Linked DNA regions of Tamandua tetradactyla. The protein of the gene in region 1 interacts with the protein of each later gene in a pairwise test. Links are inferred from orthologs where the notes say so. Each region holds a gene or a part of one and is shown on either strand. Other genes may lie near its edges.

Region 1 (7,287 bases):
CTCCAGTGAAGGCTAATTAACTTACAGAAGGCGTTTAAATAATAGATAGCAGGTTTTATACATGATGGCATTGAAATCCTTTATATATATATGTATTATATACATTTATATATATATATACACACACACAGATGAACACACAAATACACATGCACACATATATCCCAAAATCCCATGATATAGTAAGGTAAGGCAATATTTTTGTTTCATTAGAAACATTAAGACACATAAAAGAAGAAACTGATTGCTGTTTCTGATGCTAGTCCTATTTTACTTTGAGAAAAACTAAACTAATATGTTTAAGGTTTGGATATGTAAGGGGGAAAAGTGTTAATAGACTATATTATTTTTACTTTGAATACCTCATAATCTGTATTAGGTACTTTGCAAACAGATTTTATATATACTCTTCACCAATTGAAATAAAGCATATATGATACTTTTCATTGATAATAACTTAGTCCCTCCTTAATTTTAGGAGCACATGGTCACTAAGTCTTCATTCGTATCAAGCATGATAAACAATCAAAGGAAGACCAACGTATTCCCAAAGTATTCCCAGTATCATACCCAGTCACTTCATTGATTTCATTTGTGAATAATGTTCAGTGAAAATCAATAATAGACAGTTTTTTGTTGTTGTTGAGACAGCAAAAGAGATCTCCTTTGAATACAACATCTAAGAAAATAAGAGAAAAGCCTAAGGGTTGAATATTGCAGCAGCTAATTTAAATGTAAAAGCCTCTCCTTATTTCCAGTATCAACTTCTCTCTCTTTCCCAAAGAGAGTAGTGGACCCCTTCGGAGAACTGTGACTAGCTCAGACTTACCAAGGGTTGGGATTCACCTTCAGATGGTGGCCTCTGTGCCTCCTCCCTTTTACCCCAGACTCATTGCAAACCAGTCCGCTTCACTTCTGCCAGGTTCACACTCAGGCACCAGAGCTGTAGAGTGAAAGTAGCTCTGCAGCCAGGAAGACATGGTTCTGAGTCCTGGCTCCAAAACTTACTACAGTTGTGGGTTTAAATAAATCATTTAATGTGTCTGAACAGATTCCTTCATGTGTCAGATGAAGATTATGTGTGAAATGTTCAGTTTACTGCACAGTTATAAAACCTGTAGATATGTATACATATGTAAATCAACATGCACATGTATGCAAGTCAACTTGCAGATGGGAAGTATGTTCATAATGATGATGATGATGATAAAAAGGGGAACAGGCACTTCATATCTAAAGACAGTTACGCTGTGTATATTTGAAGACACTCCACAAATTTGCCCCATTCGGGCTACTTAGCACAGTGCCTGCTACTGCAGAAATATATATTTTCTTCTCCAAGCCGGCTGATCATTCACCATCTTTCCCCATTTTATGGAAATTCATGCCTCAAACCCTTTTCTCTAACTACTTCACCAAAGTAGAATATTCTTTTTCCTTCTCATCAGCTATACAAGTTCCACTGATTTTTCAAGACTCACCTCAAGAAGTCAGACCTCTCTTTCATAGCTTCTCAAATTTCTCTAGCCCTAAAATCCACGCTAAAAGGGAATATTTGAAGATTTTGGCCTTATGGCAGCGTCCAATTACCTTGTAATAACAAAATGGGAGAAATGATACTTAAATCAAGATGGTCTGAGATCATTTTTCATGTTTTTAAGAGTTATTGGCATTATCCTTGTCACTCAAAGACTTAGATGAAGACCCTCATAAAGTCACTTGAGGCCAAGTCAATTTGAGTTCTCAAGAAGGTACACCCCCAATCAGGCAATTACTGAATCCAATGTAAACATATAAAGAACGCAATAGAGAGATGATGAAATGATCTGTTATTTCATAAGAAAACTATTTCTTCAAGAGTTCTTGAAAAAATTCAAAAAACAAAGAATTTTTCTAAACACTGTTCAGATTTTAATGGTTTAAAATGATGTTGCAAAATCACATGAAGTTTATACATCTAATATATCACTAGCTTTTCAAGATTCCTTTATATGGGGAAAAAAGTCAAAGTTCAAGATTATTTTAATGTATCTGTGAGAACATTTATTGAAAACAAAAGGATTTATTCACAAAAAATCTAATCAAAGATTTTATCAACACCCCTCTCCCATCAAAAAGATAATCAAAAACATATCCCCATGTTTTTAGAAAAAAAGAAAAACCAATGTTGATATATCTGAAAATAGCCAGCACATCATTGTGTATTCAATGTCATATGCTATTTACATATTTCTAATTGCAATTTTTTTGTCTTAAAAATATTTTCCTTATATTTCCACTTGATAGACTTACCTACTCAACATTCATGTTATAGTTTATTTTTCAAAACCATCAGCAAATACTTCCCAATGATTTCCAGCATTTTTCCCCTTCATTTCTGTAGTTGTTTTCTATATAAATGTCCATTTCCTATAGATGATGTGTAGGATATTATTTTGTATCCCTGTCTCTTCCACATATCCAAGTTATTTATGTATAGAAATCAATATTAGTGCTAAATCTGAAGTATAGCTTTCTGTTAACAATGACAAGAATTCAACATGAGGATAGTAAAATTAAAATAACTCAGTGCATGGAGCATGAACATGAGGATTTACATAACAATTTTACTTTTTTACTGTAAGAATACAGATTACTTCAAACACATTTATTAACCCTTAATCATTTGAAACTAAAAACAAGGTTTTAATAGCAACATATTATATTACTGTCTAAATTTAGAGTTGAAATTCTTACCTGAGTTTGTTTAGCATATAGTTATTTTTTAAAGGCAGGAAATATATAACATGCTGTCAGGATAAATAACACCAACAGTGGGAAAAAAAGGAAAGGTAAGGGATGAGATCAAGTCCACTTTAAAAAGAAATTCCAATCCTTCTGTTTCACAGACCAACAGCAGTTCTGTTCCGCCTCTTATAAGCAACTGTCTTTTTCCTTGCTCAGAAAACAACACATGCTCTACCCCAGCAGGAAAGTATAAAAATTAAATAGAAAACCACAAGGTTATTAAACACTCTTACCCTCTGGGCTTGCTGGGCTGCTCTAACGTCTCAGTGTTACAGACACATGTGTAAACAACAGAATTTCCTGCATCCTTTTCTCATCTGTATAGCTCTGGGGTCCTGGCCAACGAGATTATTTCCTAAACTAAGGCCACTCCACAGAAACTCAAAAAAGGATTCCTATTGGTTATGAAGATTTATCACAACCGATACCTTAACACCCTTTTTTGGAACACAAGCGAACATATCAAATTAAAATCATTTTTAATGTCTCCTAACTAAGCATGGTTATCCAAATTTTTTCATTCAATTCATTTGACACTATGTGCTATGAGTGAAAAAGGAAGAAACGACCCGTACCTTTAATCACAAGTTTGTTTCATGTTTAACAATAGGCAAAACTTGTAATAGAAAAATTAAAATGCCAAAACAAAGAAAAGCTATTAAAGTATCTTATCTGCAAAAGATTTAAAGCAAGATTATACTGCAGATCACAGAAATAATAGAAAATGCAATGTGCCTGATCTAATTTTGTTTTGATTGTCCAGCAAAAAGGAAAAAAGAAACAGCATTTAATAAAATATTCACATATGCAAATCATGGTTCAAAAATTATATGTCAAAACACTTGATCTCAGTCATGTTGGCAGGAATTATGAATTCAAGTCTCTAGGGCCTCCAGTGAGAGCTCTCTGGCTGCTTTCCCTGGGGGAAAAACAGAGTAGTTTTTCCAGTGACATGACTCAGCTGTCAGGAAGTGTACTGATGAAGGGGTGAGGGCAGACCACATAAAAGAAAACTTCCCTGGTTAAAACCAACAATAGAAAATGCTCAAAGAAATAGGGAGAGGGCAGAGGAAAAGAAACCAGTATGCTTCTTTTAAGTAGCAGGAAAACAGCATTGGAAAGACAGAATATATGTCCTCTCCCAATAGTCGTCATTGATTAACAATTCTATCATCTATTTCTTCTGAATAGCTACCTTCCCTCCTGATTTTTCTGATGCCATGGAAAGGATGACCATTCTTGGTATAAAACAATCAGTCCTTTGGAGTTCAGGTTCCCTTTCTCCCATCTTCTCAGCTTTCCTGTATCTTTGAATGCTCCCTCTTGATTGGATTTTCCCAATGAGATTTTTAGACACAGTTAAATCCTTCAGCCAAAAACAAACAAAACAGGCTTCCCTTGATCTCATTTTCACTTCCAGGTCCCATTTTCCTGTCCTTCATGGTCAAATGATTGAAAGAGCGCTCTTCTTATTTAATCTACTTTCAACCCCCATCACTGCACCAAGATGCCTCTTCCTGAAAATACACACGTACACCACACAGGGGGATAAAAAAAAACACTTTTTTTTTATACTTCATAGACTCCTCTCTGTCCTCAGTCCTCTTAGCATCTACACAGCCTCTGATGCTGTTGACCACCAGTCTATAAGAAGACACTCCTTTCTTGGCTTTGATGAAAACTCCCTCTCTTGGCACAATACTCTCTTGGTCTTCCTCTTGACCAGTCTTGCTGTGTCTTCTCACTCTTTAGCGGTGCCCTTTCTCCTTTCATGCCTTGGTGTACATCAATACCTTGTTCTCATCTAAATCCATATCCTCCTCTGGTGATTTTAATTGCCATCTCTTTTTCAGAAGACTCCAAATATCTACAGTTGGACCCAATCCTCTTCAGAGAGTTCCACACTTACATATATCTGCACAGTGTACACTTCTACTTGAAAATACCATAGATATGTCAAAGTGAACAAGTCTAAAGCTGAAGTCACCAATTTTTCCATGGACCTGCTGTGCTTATATCAATACGGCCAAGCCAATCTTACAATTTCTTAAAGAAAACTCCTGAAGTCATCCTTGACTCCTTCTATTCTATGTCCAGTAAGTGTCTTTTGGTTTTACTTCATTAATTTACTCAGTACTTTCTCTTTCCACTGCCATCTACAGTGATTCAGGGCACCAGCATACTCTGCCTGAACCAGTGCAGTGTCTTCATGAGTTGTTTGCCTGCCCCAAACTTGTTCCTCTCTGTTTTTAGTAAAGTTACAGAGTAGTTCCAGTGGTATGAGTCTAGTTCAGTGGCCTATTTCCAGTACTCTTACTGGTCTAAATCTCTGAAGATTTCCTACTTAATTAGTTAGCTAGCTTATTTACATAATAAACTTTATTTTTAAACAGTTTTAGATTTACAGCTTTATCTTCACAAAACATTCTTTGGGTTACCAGAACACTATTCTGATTTATATGTTTCCATCTTACTAACCATTTCAGGTCCTGAACACCATCCTTTATTACTAGCCTCTCTTTTTGATGGTGCAATAGCTCCAAGCGTCTATCATTGGTCCTTCTCTTACGCACATCTTCTCTTCAGGTGATCACATCTGTTTTTGTGGCTTCTTTTGTCATACATACAATTCCCAAATCTACATGACCAGCCCAAAGCAGTTTATCAAGCTTCAGATCTGCATTTCTGTCTCATGAGAGTACTCACTAGGAACCACTTAATTCTCTTTACCATCTCCAAGGACTAAACCCATTATATATTTTCTAAAACCTCTATGTGTCCTGTATTCTCAATATAAAATAATGACACTACCACCCACCCAGTATTTCAAGCTAGAAACCTATCTGTCATTCCTGAATTCCCACTCTTCTTCACTCTTCAAATAACACAACTTTATAGTAAAACTTGAAAGAATTGTCTGATTCTCTCTCTCTCCACTTCATTGCCTCCCATCTCTTCTGAATCCACACTGATCAGGTTTTTGACTCACCATATCAATATTTTACTGGCAAATTTATAAATTACTGATGAGTAAAAAATTGCCTATAAAAGGAAGCATTGTCTCATTTGTAGCTTTCTCAAGTGAAGGCTATTGATTCCCCATGACCTATTTCCCTTTGGTTCAAAAAGCGTAGGAGGGCAACTGCTTATTATTTCTTATTGCCAACTCTCGTTTAAAAACTTTTGTTGATTAATATCATGGGACCAGGTGGTGCAATAGTGGCTCAGTGGCAGAATTCTCACCTGCTATGCCAGAGACTGAGTCCAATTTCCAGAGCCTGCCCATGCTGAAAAATATATAAATATATTTTATATATATATATATATATATATATCATGGGACCCACGGGTATTAGGGAAACAAAGTTATCCAGTGCCTCTATCCTAGTTCAAAGGCTGCACTGACACCACACACAAACACACACACAACCTTATCTTAACATTCCATACTCCACAACAAGCGGTGGGGGCACAGGAAAAAGAGATGAGAGAATTCAGCCTTTGAGGTTTCTTAATTTGTTGAAAAGTTCACGATATCTTAAAGCACTTAGTAGGTACCAAAGAAGAGCTGACACTTTTTTTTTAGTTGATTGCAATTCATTTTATATATTAGGTCCTCCCTGTGGATACTACTTTCCTACCCAGTCTAATTTCTCCCCTTCCTCCCTACAGAATGAATTTTGTTTTTTGTTTGGACAACATTGTCAGAAAAAAAAAAAAAAAAAACCTACACTACCCAGCTCCCCATACAGATATGCTTAGCCACGTGGCACAGCTCTGCCAGTAAACATTAGCTGATATTAGCTGATAAAATGGGCATGTTTGCAAAAACTTTTCTTTCCTGATATGGTTGACACTCCCTCTTCCATTCACCTCCTTCTTCCTTCTTTGAACAAGGATGGGAGGCTGGAGGTAGAGAAGCTATCTTAGCTTTCCTGAATTACTGTCACAGATACCACACAGGGTATTGGCATCAATAATGGGAATTTATTGGCTCATGATTTTGAACCTAGAAGAAGTCCATAATCAAGGTGTCACAAGGCAATGCTTTTTCTACAAAGTCTGCAACATTCTGGTGCTGGCTGCCAGCAAACCTTGGGTCCCTTGGTTTGTGTCCCTGACTTGCATCCCATGACGATGTCTTGTCCTTTCCTCTCGCTTCCGGGTTCCATTGACTTCCAGCTTCTGGGTCCTCCCCATGGCTTTCTCTGAATAAATGTGAATTTCTTCTGCCCAGGAAGGACACAGTAATCAGGATTAAGACCCAACTTCATTCAGTTGGACCACATCATAAGTAAAATAACATCCTATTCTCAGTAGGTTCCCACTCACAGGAATGCAGACTAAGATCAAGAACATATCTAAATCAGGTACATAATTCAAATCTTTAAGTCTGCGGTGACTAGAGGATGCAAGCTACACATCAACAGTGGAGATGCTGGTCTGGCCCTGGCCAGCAAAGTTCTAGAGGCTTTCCCTTAAAGTAAGAAAAGAAAGCTT
Region 2 (7,082 bases), on another chromosome or scaffold:
GGGGCTGGTGGTGGGGGCCGGAGTTCCACCACTTCCTCTTTCTGCTGTCTTGGGCCTCCTCCGGTCCCAGCGTCCTCTGGTGGGAGGGGGGAGGGCACAGAGCAGCGGTTCTGCAGGGTGTTCAGAGACCTGCCCTGAGCCCCCGCCTCCTCCTCCTTCGCGGCCTCCCATTCTCCAGCGTCTACCTCAGGAGGTCCCAGCCTCTTCTCAGCAGACTCTGAAGGTTCTGGTTTCTGCTTTTGAGTCTCTATATCCCTGATTGTCCATTCTCGAGCCTTCCCTGAGTTCAGAGTCCATTTCCACCCTTCTGTCAGCCTCAAACTCCTGTCGCCATCCTCCACTGGGCTTGGCCTCTGTTCTGTGGCCTCCACGCCTCTGGGACTGATGTCAGAAACCTCTCTGGTCAGGATCTCTGAGAGTCCTTTAATCTCTTCTGGTGTTATCCCTGGAATTGGCCTCTCTTCTTTTCTCCCACATTCCTCTGAACAGTTGTTTTTCTCTTCTGAGGTCAGTCTCCACTCTGATGCTTCCAGCTGTACCAAGCTCTCTTCCTGAGACTCTCTAGAGTCAGGCCTCCATTTATGGGTCTCTATCAGACCCAACTTCTGGATACCAGGCTCCCCGGGGCTCAGTCTGCTTTCCACCACCTCTGTTCTCCTGGGGCTTTGCTCTTGAGGATCTGCCAGTCTCAGACTCCGCTCTGGAGTCTCTCCAGGGCTCAGTCTCCATTTCTGCACCTCTAATAGACGGGAGCTCTCTCCTGGGCTCTGCCTCCAGTCCCGAGCCTCTGAAGGCCTGGGACTAGACTCTCGGGCTCCCCCTATACCCAACCTCCTCTCTCTGGTCTCCCTGGGACTGAGCCTCTCTTCTCTGGACTCTCTTCCTTTGGGGCTATGATCCCGAATCTCCCCAGGGCTGGATCTCCGCTCCTGGGCCTCAGCAGGCCTTCTCTCTGCAAGCAGCTCTTCAATCCGCTGCTGCTGCTGCTGCTGCCTCTCCTGTCGGATAAATCGATTCTGATGCACTGGACCGATGGCCTCCAGGAGGACAGCAGACTCGTCTGGGTCTGGAGGTCCCGCCTCTGCAGTTTCCGGTGCAGGGCTAGGCTCCCCAGGGGCAAGCCCAAGCTTGGCCCTGCGGCGTTCCAGGAGCCCCCTCTTCCAAGCTGGCATCTGGGAAAGGCGCTCCCTCTCCGCCTTCTCCCGGCCACGCACTGCTGCCTCCTCTTGCCGGCGCCGGGCTAACAGCTGTAGTTTCCAGTCGGGGATGGTGGTCATGGTCGCTTTAGGGTGAAGGTGGGAAACTCTGGGGGCAGAGGACAGGAAGAAGAGTTGGTGAGAAAGGCCCCGGGGGAGAGAGGGGGGTGGTGGTGAGAGGAAGTGGGGGGGGGGTAAAGTGGGAGACAGAGAAGAGGACAGGGACTGAGGGTGAGGACAGAGGGAAAGAGGGGAAGGGTAGAGAAAGGGAAAAAATTGAGAAAGTGCGAATAAAAAGATATGTGCCAAGTTGGGGTGGAAGGGAAGGGAGGTGAGAGGAAGAGTCGAGATTCTGGGCAAAGAGGGAGGAGTCAGATTTGGTAGCAGAAGGTTAAAGGGTATTTAAGTTCGGATGTGGGAGAGAAAAGGGAGGGTAAAAAGATAAGTTGGGGTAAAGGAGAGAGGCAGATCAGAGAAAAGAGAGGTTGGAAGTGAGGCGGGGAGATTGCTCAGGAGAGGCCGCCTCACCGCTACCCCGGGGGGAGGTGAGAGTGGAAACCGAGGTTAAAGAATCCCGCGAAAAGGGAGCGACGGGACCTGAGTAGGGGGTGGGGATGGGTATCCGGGAGATGAGGAGGGGTCTGAGAGTGCAGAGGTCTAGGGGGTAAGGGGAAATCAGGTGATAGAGGGGAAAGGCGTTTCAACGCGGCCCCAAAGCTCGCGGCTCCCCTTCCAGCTCCGCGCGGGCCACGCCCCTCGGCCCCCACCCCCCACCCCCCCCCAGCCCCGCACTCCGCCCCCGAGGCGGGCCAGGGGAAATACCCTCCCGGGGGACTCTCCGAACCCGGTCAGCGGATCTGCCGGCGTGTTCCCAGAACCCAGGTGTCCACCCCCACCCCGTTGGGTCACCACCGCCTGCCTCCCCAGCTGGCCGCGCCCGGGGGACCCAGGCGTGCCGAGGACGGGCTCCGCGCCTCTTCCCTCCAGATCCAGCAAGTCCTGGGCCCCGGTCCCGGCTCAGGGAGCCCGGACACAGCCGCCCATCCCCACCCCACCCTGTCCACCGCACAGACAAGACAATCTCGGCACAAAGAGGAGACAGTCCGAGGGCCGGGCCGGGGACGAAAGCGGGCACCGGGACGAGGAGACACTCTCTCCCCAAGTCTGAAGCCCGCAAATCAACTCACACGGCCGCGGGGCTCCCGGAGGAGGGGGATGCGGAGAAGTCAGGCGTCCGGAGAGGAGGAGAGGAAGAGGAGGAGAGAGGGAGAGAGGGAGATCCGGAGACGGGAAGGAGGGGAGGAGGGGGAAAGGAGGAGGGAAAGAAGGAGCAGAGGAGGAGGGACGAAGACAGAGACCTGGGGGCCGGGCGGGGGGCGGCGACCGCTTTGTCTGAGGACAATGGGGAGAGGGAAGGGGGTGCGGAGCGGAACCAGAGGAGGGGGCGGGGCCTGGCTGCCCCAGCCCGGGCGGTGGGAATTCGCTTCGGGTCTCCCCTCTTCCCGCCCCAACCCCTGGCCCTCAGCTCTCTGTCCTCTGGGGTCCTCACCCACCCCCACGACCCGTAGCCCTGGAGGCTCCAGTTCGCCGACCCAGGGCGGCGGCCTGTGACTCAGGCCCCTCGAGGGACTTGGGGAGGAAGCGGCAGCTGCTCTGAGCCGGGCCCGCCCTTCCCATCTCCCGCCGCTCCTCCCCACGCCTTTGCCTTCCCCGCCAGCCTTTGTTACTGTGGGGTCGAGGGCCGCTGCCGCCGGGCTGTAGGAGGCCTGCTGGAGACCGGGGTAGGGCGCGGGAAGGCGGAGAGGGAGGCGCCCAGAAGCCAACGGCTTTGGAAGCTCACTCCCCTACCAAAGTCGCGGTCCCCTCTTTTTAGCCTCAAATCGTGCCCTATGCGTCCTATGGTCTGCAGCAGGGGAATTGGGGGCGCTCCAGAAAGGTGGGGGCCGGTCTGCGGGGAGTGGCCGCCGCCCAGCGGTCGCCTCAGGGCGCGGTGGCCGCCCAGACCCGCGATTGGCGCGCCCAGGTTCCAACTCGCTTTCCTTCCCAAACCCAGCCCTGCAACCTGAGAGCCACTGACAGACAGCACACCAGATGTAGAAGTCAGGCTGAATTTTATTTTACTGCAGCACGTGTTCCTTGGAAGGGCGGGGAGCCTTAAATCACTGGAATTAAGAACCGGAGAACTCCTACCAGGTCGCCGGAGGTGGAGGTGGGCGGGGCAGGGGATGGAGGTGAGGCTGCCAGGCTCTGGCCCAGCCTCTTGGGGGCAGAAACAAGAAGTGGAGAAGGGGAGGCACTGAGGCAAATAACTGTGCCAGGGGAGTGGTCAGGAAGATATTTTCCCTTGTGGTGATGCTGGAAGGAAAGGGAATCAAGCGCTAAACCTTGAGGGGACAGATGGGTTTCACGCCCTCTCTTCCAGGCTGGGGAGAAGTGGACCTACTGAGTCCAGTAGCTGACACTCAGGATTTAGGGTATAGAGTTGGAGCCTAGCTAGTGGAATCTCAAAAAGGGGAATGGACAGTCCCTGTCTAGCATTTGGATATTAAGGAACTTAGAATTCAAAGGGAGAAGATGTACAGGGCTTAGAAACAGAAGTTAGCTCCTCATTCAGCCTCCCCATCCTGGGGCCTGGAGAGTAGGTGGAGTTTTCTTTTTAGCTGGGCCCGGAGGTAGCAGAGATCCTGCTGGTCGAGCCCATGAGCTAGGCCCAGGTAGAGGGTGAGGAGGAGAGCAAGGAGGAGGCGGTCGGCGCCCAGGGTAGGCACCACCCACAGCACAGTCAGGAGCTCCACACACACTGGATGGCGCAGGTGGGAGAAGAGTCTCAGAGCTCTGGGGGACTTCAGGGACAGTGGCTCGCCCAGCCCTAACACATGGTAGTACACCTAGGAGAGGGACAACAGCTTAGAAATGAAGTCAAGCCTCTTTCTCTACTTAGCCCCCTTTCCCTCACCTCCTCCTAGAACTCAGGCCCAGATACCCGGCCCCCTAGCCCTCACCCTTCTCAGACTTGGGTATCTCTTGGGTATCTCTTACTTCTCCACGCCCAGGAGGACCATGGCTAACCTTTGATGGAGTGTTGAGGGAAGACTATTAAAGGAAAGGGAAAGAGAAGTGAGGGAGTTGCAAGCAAGGGGAAGGCGGTAGAGCTTGGAAGAAGGGGGAGTGAAACCCTTGAATGGGGAAGAGGAGTTTTTGAAAGGGGCAGAGGCCTTGGGTAGGGATCTAGAAGCTTCACCTGTTTGAGGCCCATGAGCTCAGCGTAGTCAAAGACGAGAAGGATGCTGAAAATGAGGAGCCAGGAAATGACGTGGAGCACAAAGCAGAGGAGGGGCACCCAGGTAGCCCACGGCTCAGCCCGAGCTTCCCATAACACAGGACCTCTGGGTACAGGCTCCCAGTACCGCATCACCAGCTGGGGAAGGATGAGAAGTTGGCATTCCAGCAGCCTGCTCCTGAGAGACTCAGACTAACCCCCACTCCAGGATGGCCTGCAGCTCTCCCCAGCCCCCATCGCGAGCATCACCAACAAATATTAACCATGGGGCGGGGACTGGGTGGGGTCCCAAGGATATAAGGATAATCTGTCTCTACCAAGAGGATTTACGGAATAGGTGGGGATGATCAGAGACAGATACGAAGTAGCCTACACCAAGCACTCAGAGAGAAGGCACATGAACACTAACTGGGAAGCCTTTCCTTGAGACCTAGGGAAATGGGTAGTGAAGAACCAGTAGAACTGAAGAGGATTTAGGGATGGGGATCCCAAGCAGGGGACAACAAAAACAAAGTTGCAAAAGTGAGAATGCACATATTGTGTTTGGGGAAGGACATGCACACCCTTCTAGATAAAAAGCAGGATATTATGCTGTGGAGGAATGAGAGCTGAGATTAACTGCTGAACACCAAATTTCATCCTGAAGCCTAGGGTTCTTGCCCCTCCTACCAGGCTGCCCCTCCCACAGACTGTTCCCTTAGGGAACTTTGCTGCCAGGCTCTCATACCTGCAAAGCCAGGGCAGTGCATGCCACATACAATGACCTCTGCAGGACCCCAAAGTACCAGGACGTCCACGCCTTCACTGTCTCTGTAGCCATGAGGCTATGCTGCCCCACAAATAGTAGTAGGAGCCCCAGATTCTGAGCCAGGGGGGCAAGGATGCTGTGGTCCTGCAGGGCAGCCAGCCATCCCTGGCGGCCATCTAGGGGGTGTGGAGAAGAAAGGGACAAAAAGATCAAGAAGATTGGTGGGAAATACCTCTACTCTCATCTCCTCTTGGGGTTGGGGATTGGGGGGTGGGGGGGTGGACAATGTCCCGTAATGCTTTCCAGAGCCTTAATGCCTCCTCTCCAGGCCGTGCCCATCTCACTTTTCCATTCCCTGTTTCAACCCTCTTCCTCCGGCCTCGTTCAAAACCGGGGAAGAGGATTCACAGAAAAAAAAACGCATTTTGGGCAGTTACTAAAGGCATGGATGGAAGTTCAGCCCTGTATTGCCCCTCTTATTTCAGTTCTCCAAACGCTACCTCTTTTGAACACTCTCCCCTTTACAAAATCCTTTTCTTAGAAAACGCTAACAAGACTTTTATCGCCCTTTCCCATTCCTCTTCCCTCCCGGCCTCTTCAAACAGCTTATCCCCAAATTCCAAATTTAGTCCTCTGGTCCTGCTCCCCTGCAGCTTCATCGCGGCTTTCAGGGTAGCATTGCTCCTGCGGACTTCCCCTCGGTCATTTGCCTGCAGGCCCCGCCCCGCGCCCGCTCCTCCGGCTCCGCCTCCCTACCCCCAAGCTCGGCCTCGTCCCTCCCGCTCACCCGGACCAGACTCCGGGAGCCCGCCAAGAAGTGGCCGAAGGGAGGTGAAGCGCACGAACTCCACTCCAGTGCCAAAGGCCAGGATGAAAGAGGCAAGAGCAGCAGGGACCAGGAGCAGTGCAGGGGCCATGGCGAGAGGTGGAGAGGCGGGGTAAGGGGCGGGCCCAAGATTCCCGCGGCCGTCGGCCCCGCCCCCGCGCGGTATCCCGCCCAGGAGGGCGGAGTGCCTGCGCGCAGTCGTCTGGGCTTCCGGCGCGTCTCGCGCCGCTTCCCACCACTAGGTGGCAGGGCTGGTGCTGGAGTGTTTTGCCAGAGCCTGTCAACTTGGCGTCCGCAAAGGGTAAGATAGATACTAAGTGGAAAGTAAAAAAGGGCAGCGGCTCTTCGGCCAGTCGTGGGTTGAATCTCAGCTCCGTTACGTTTTCCATCTAAAATGAAGACATTTCCTCTCTTGCATGGTTGTGGTTGAAACAGCACACGCAAGCCTCCTTCTCTTTAACTTAGCCTTAGCTAGAAAACAACCAGAGTCAGAGGTTACAAACCTGGGTTGGCAGTTTAGTAATGAACAAGGAGAGAACAGAAGATTGTTGTCCCAGGCTGACTGTCTGAGAACCCAGGCTCTGAATCACCTATTGTATAGTGTTAGAATAAAAAAAGTTATTATTCTATCACAAAATAAATTAATGCTTATTCTGTAACTTAATATAAAATTGAGTTGTTACTCCTCCACTTTCTAAGAATGGCCAATAACTCATATGTGATACTCAAAGCTTTGTTCTCATAGTTCTGAAGACTGTTGGCTTGTAACCATGAAAGCCAAAATACGTTATCTGTGAGTGATTTGAACAGTGAATAAAAAAGTATTTGCAAAGTCCCCTTGGGGAAATGGTGAGAAAGGGGGAAAATTCACCTTCCCCAAGTGGAGAATTCTTGATATTCTCACAAGCAGTGGGGACAACCAAAGCAATAGGCTGAGCCCTCAATCTTGGGGTTTGTTCATATGAAACTTAACCCCAGAAAGTATAGGCTAAGCCTACTTAAAGTTAGGCCTGAGTCACCTCCAGAGAACCT

The links. The genes of interacting proteins can lie anywhere in the genome.
Region 2: the proteins of CCDC102B (region 1) and PPP1R18 interact in binary tests that used the Homo sapiens proteins (3 or more experiments, as listed by UniProt). The two-hybrid records come from large-scale screens. The link is inferred for Tamandua tetradactyla from reciprocal best matches to the Homo sapiens genes CCDC102B and PPP1R18.

What each region holds. Positions count from the first base shown.
Region 1 is NC_135344.1:13,477,660-13,484,946, forward strand, and holds the start of CCDC102B (coiled-coil domain-containing protein 102B), read right to left. Parts: upstream 3,013-7,287; 5' UTR 2,754-3,012; coding exon 2,737-2,753; intron 1,195-2,736; exon of another isoform or gene 830-1,194; intron 1-829. UniProt on the Homo sapiens protein: During interphase, forms fibers at the proximal ends of centrioles to maintain centrosome cohesion. During mitosis, dissociates from the centrosome following phosphorylation to allow centrosome separation. Contributes to CROCC/rootletin filament formation.
Region 2 is NC_135331.1:85,574,065-85,581,146, forward strand, and holds the start of PPP1R18 (phostensin), read right to left. Parts: upstream 3,011-7,082; 5' UTR 2,924-3,010; intron 2,790-2,923; exon of another isoform or gene 2,750-2,789; intron 2,542-2,749; exon of another isoform or gene 2,384-2,541; intron 1,306-2,383; 5' UTR 1,278-1,305; coding exon 1-1,277. Other genes in the region: NRM (nurim), read right to left, coding at 3,803-4,084, 4,438-4,614, 5,204-5,400, 6,012-6,141.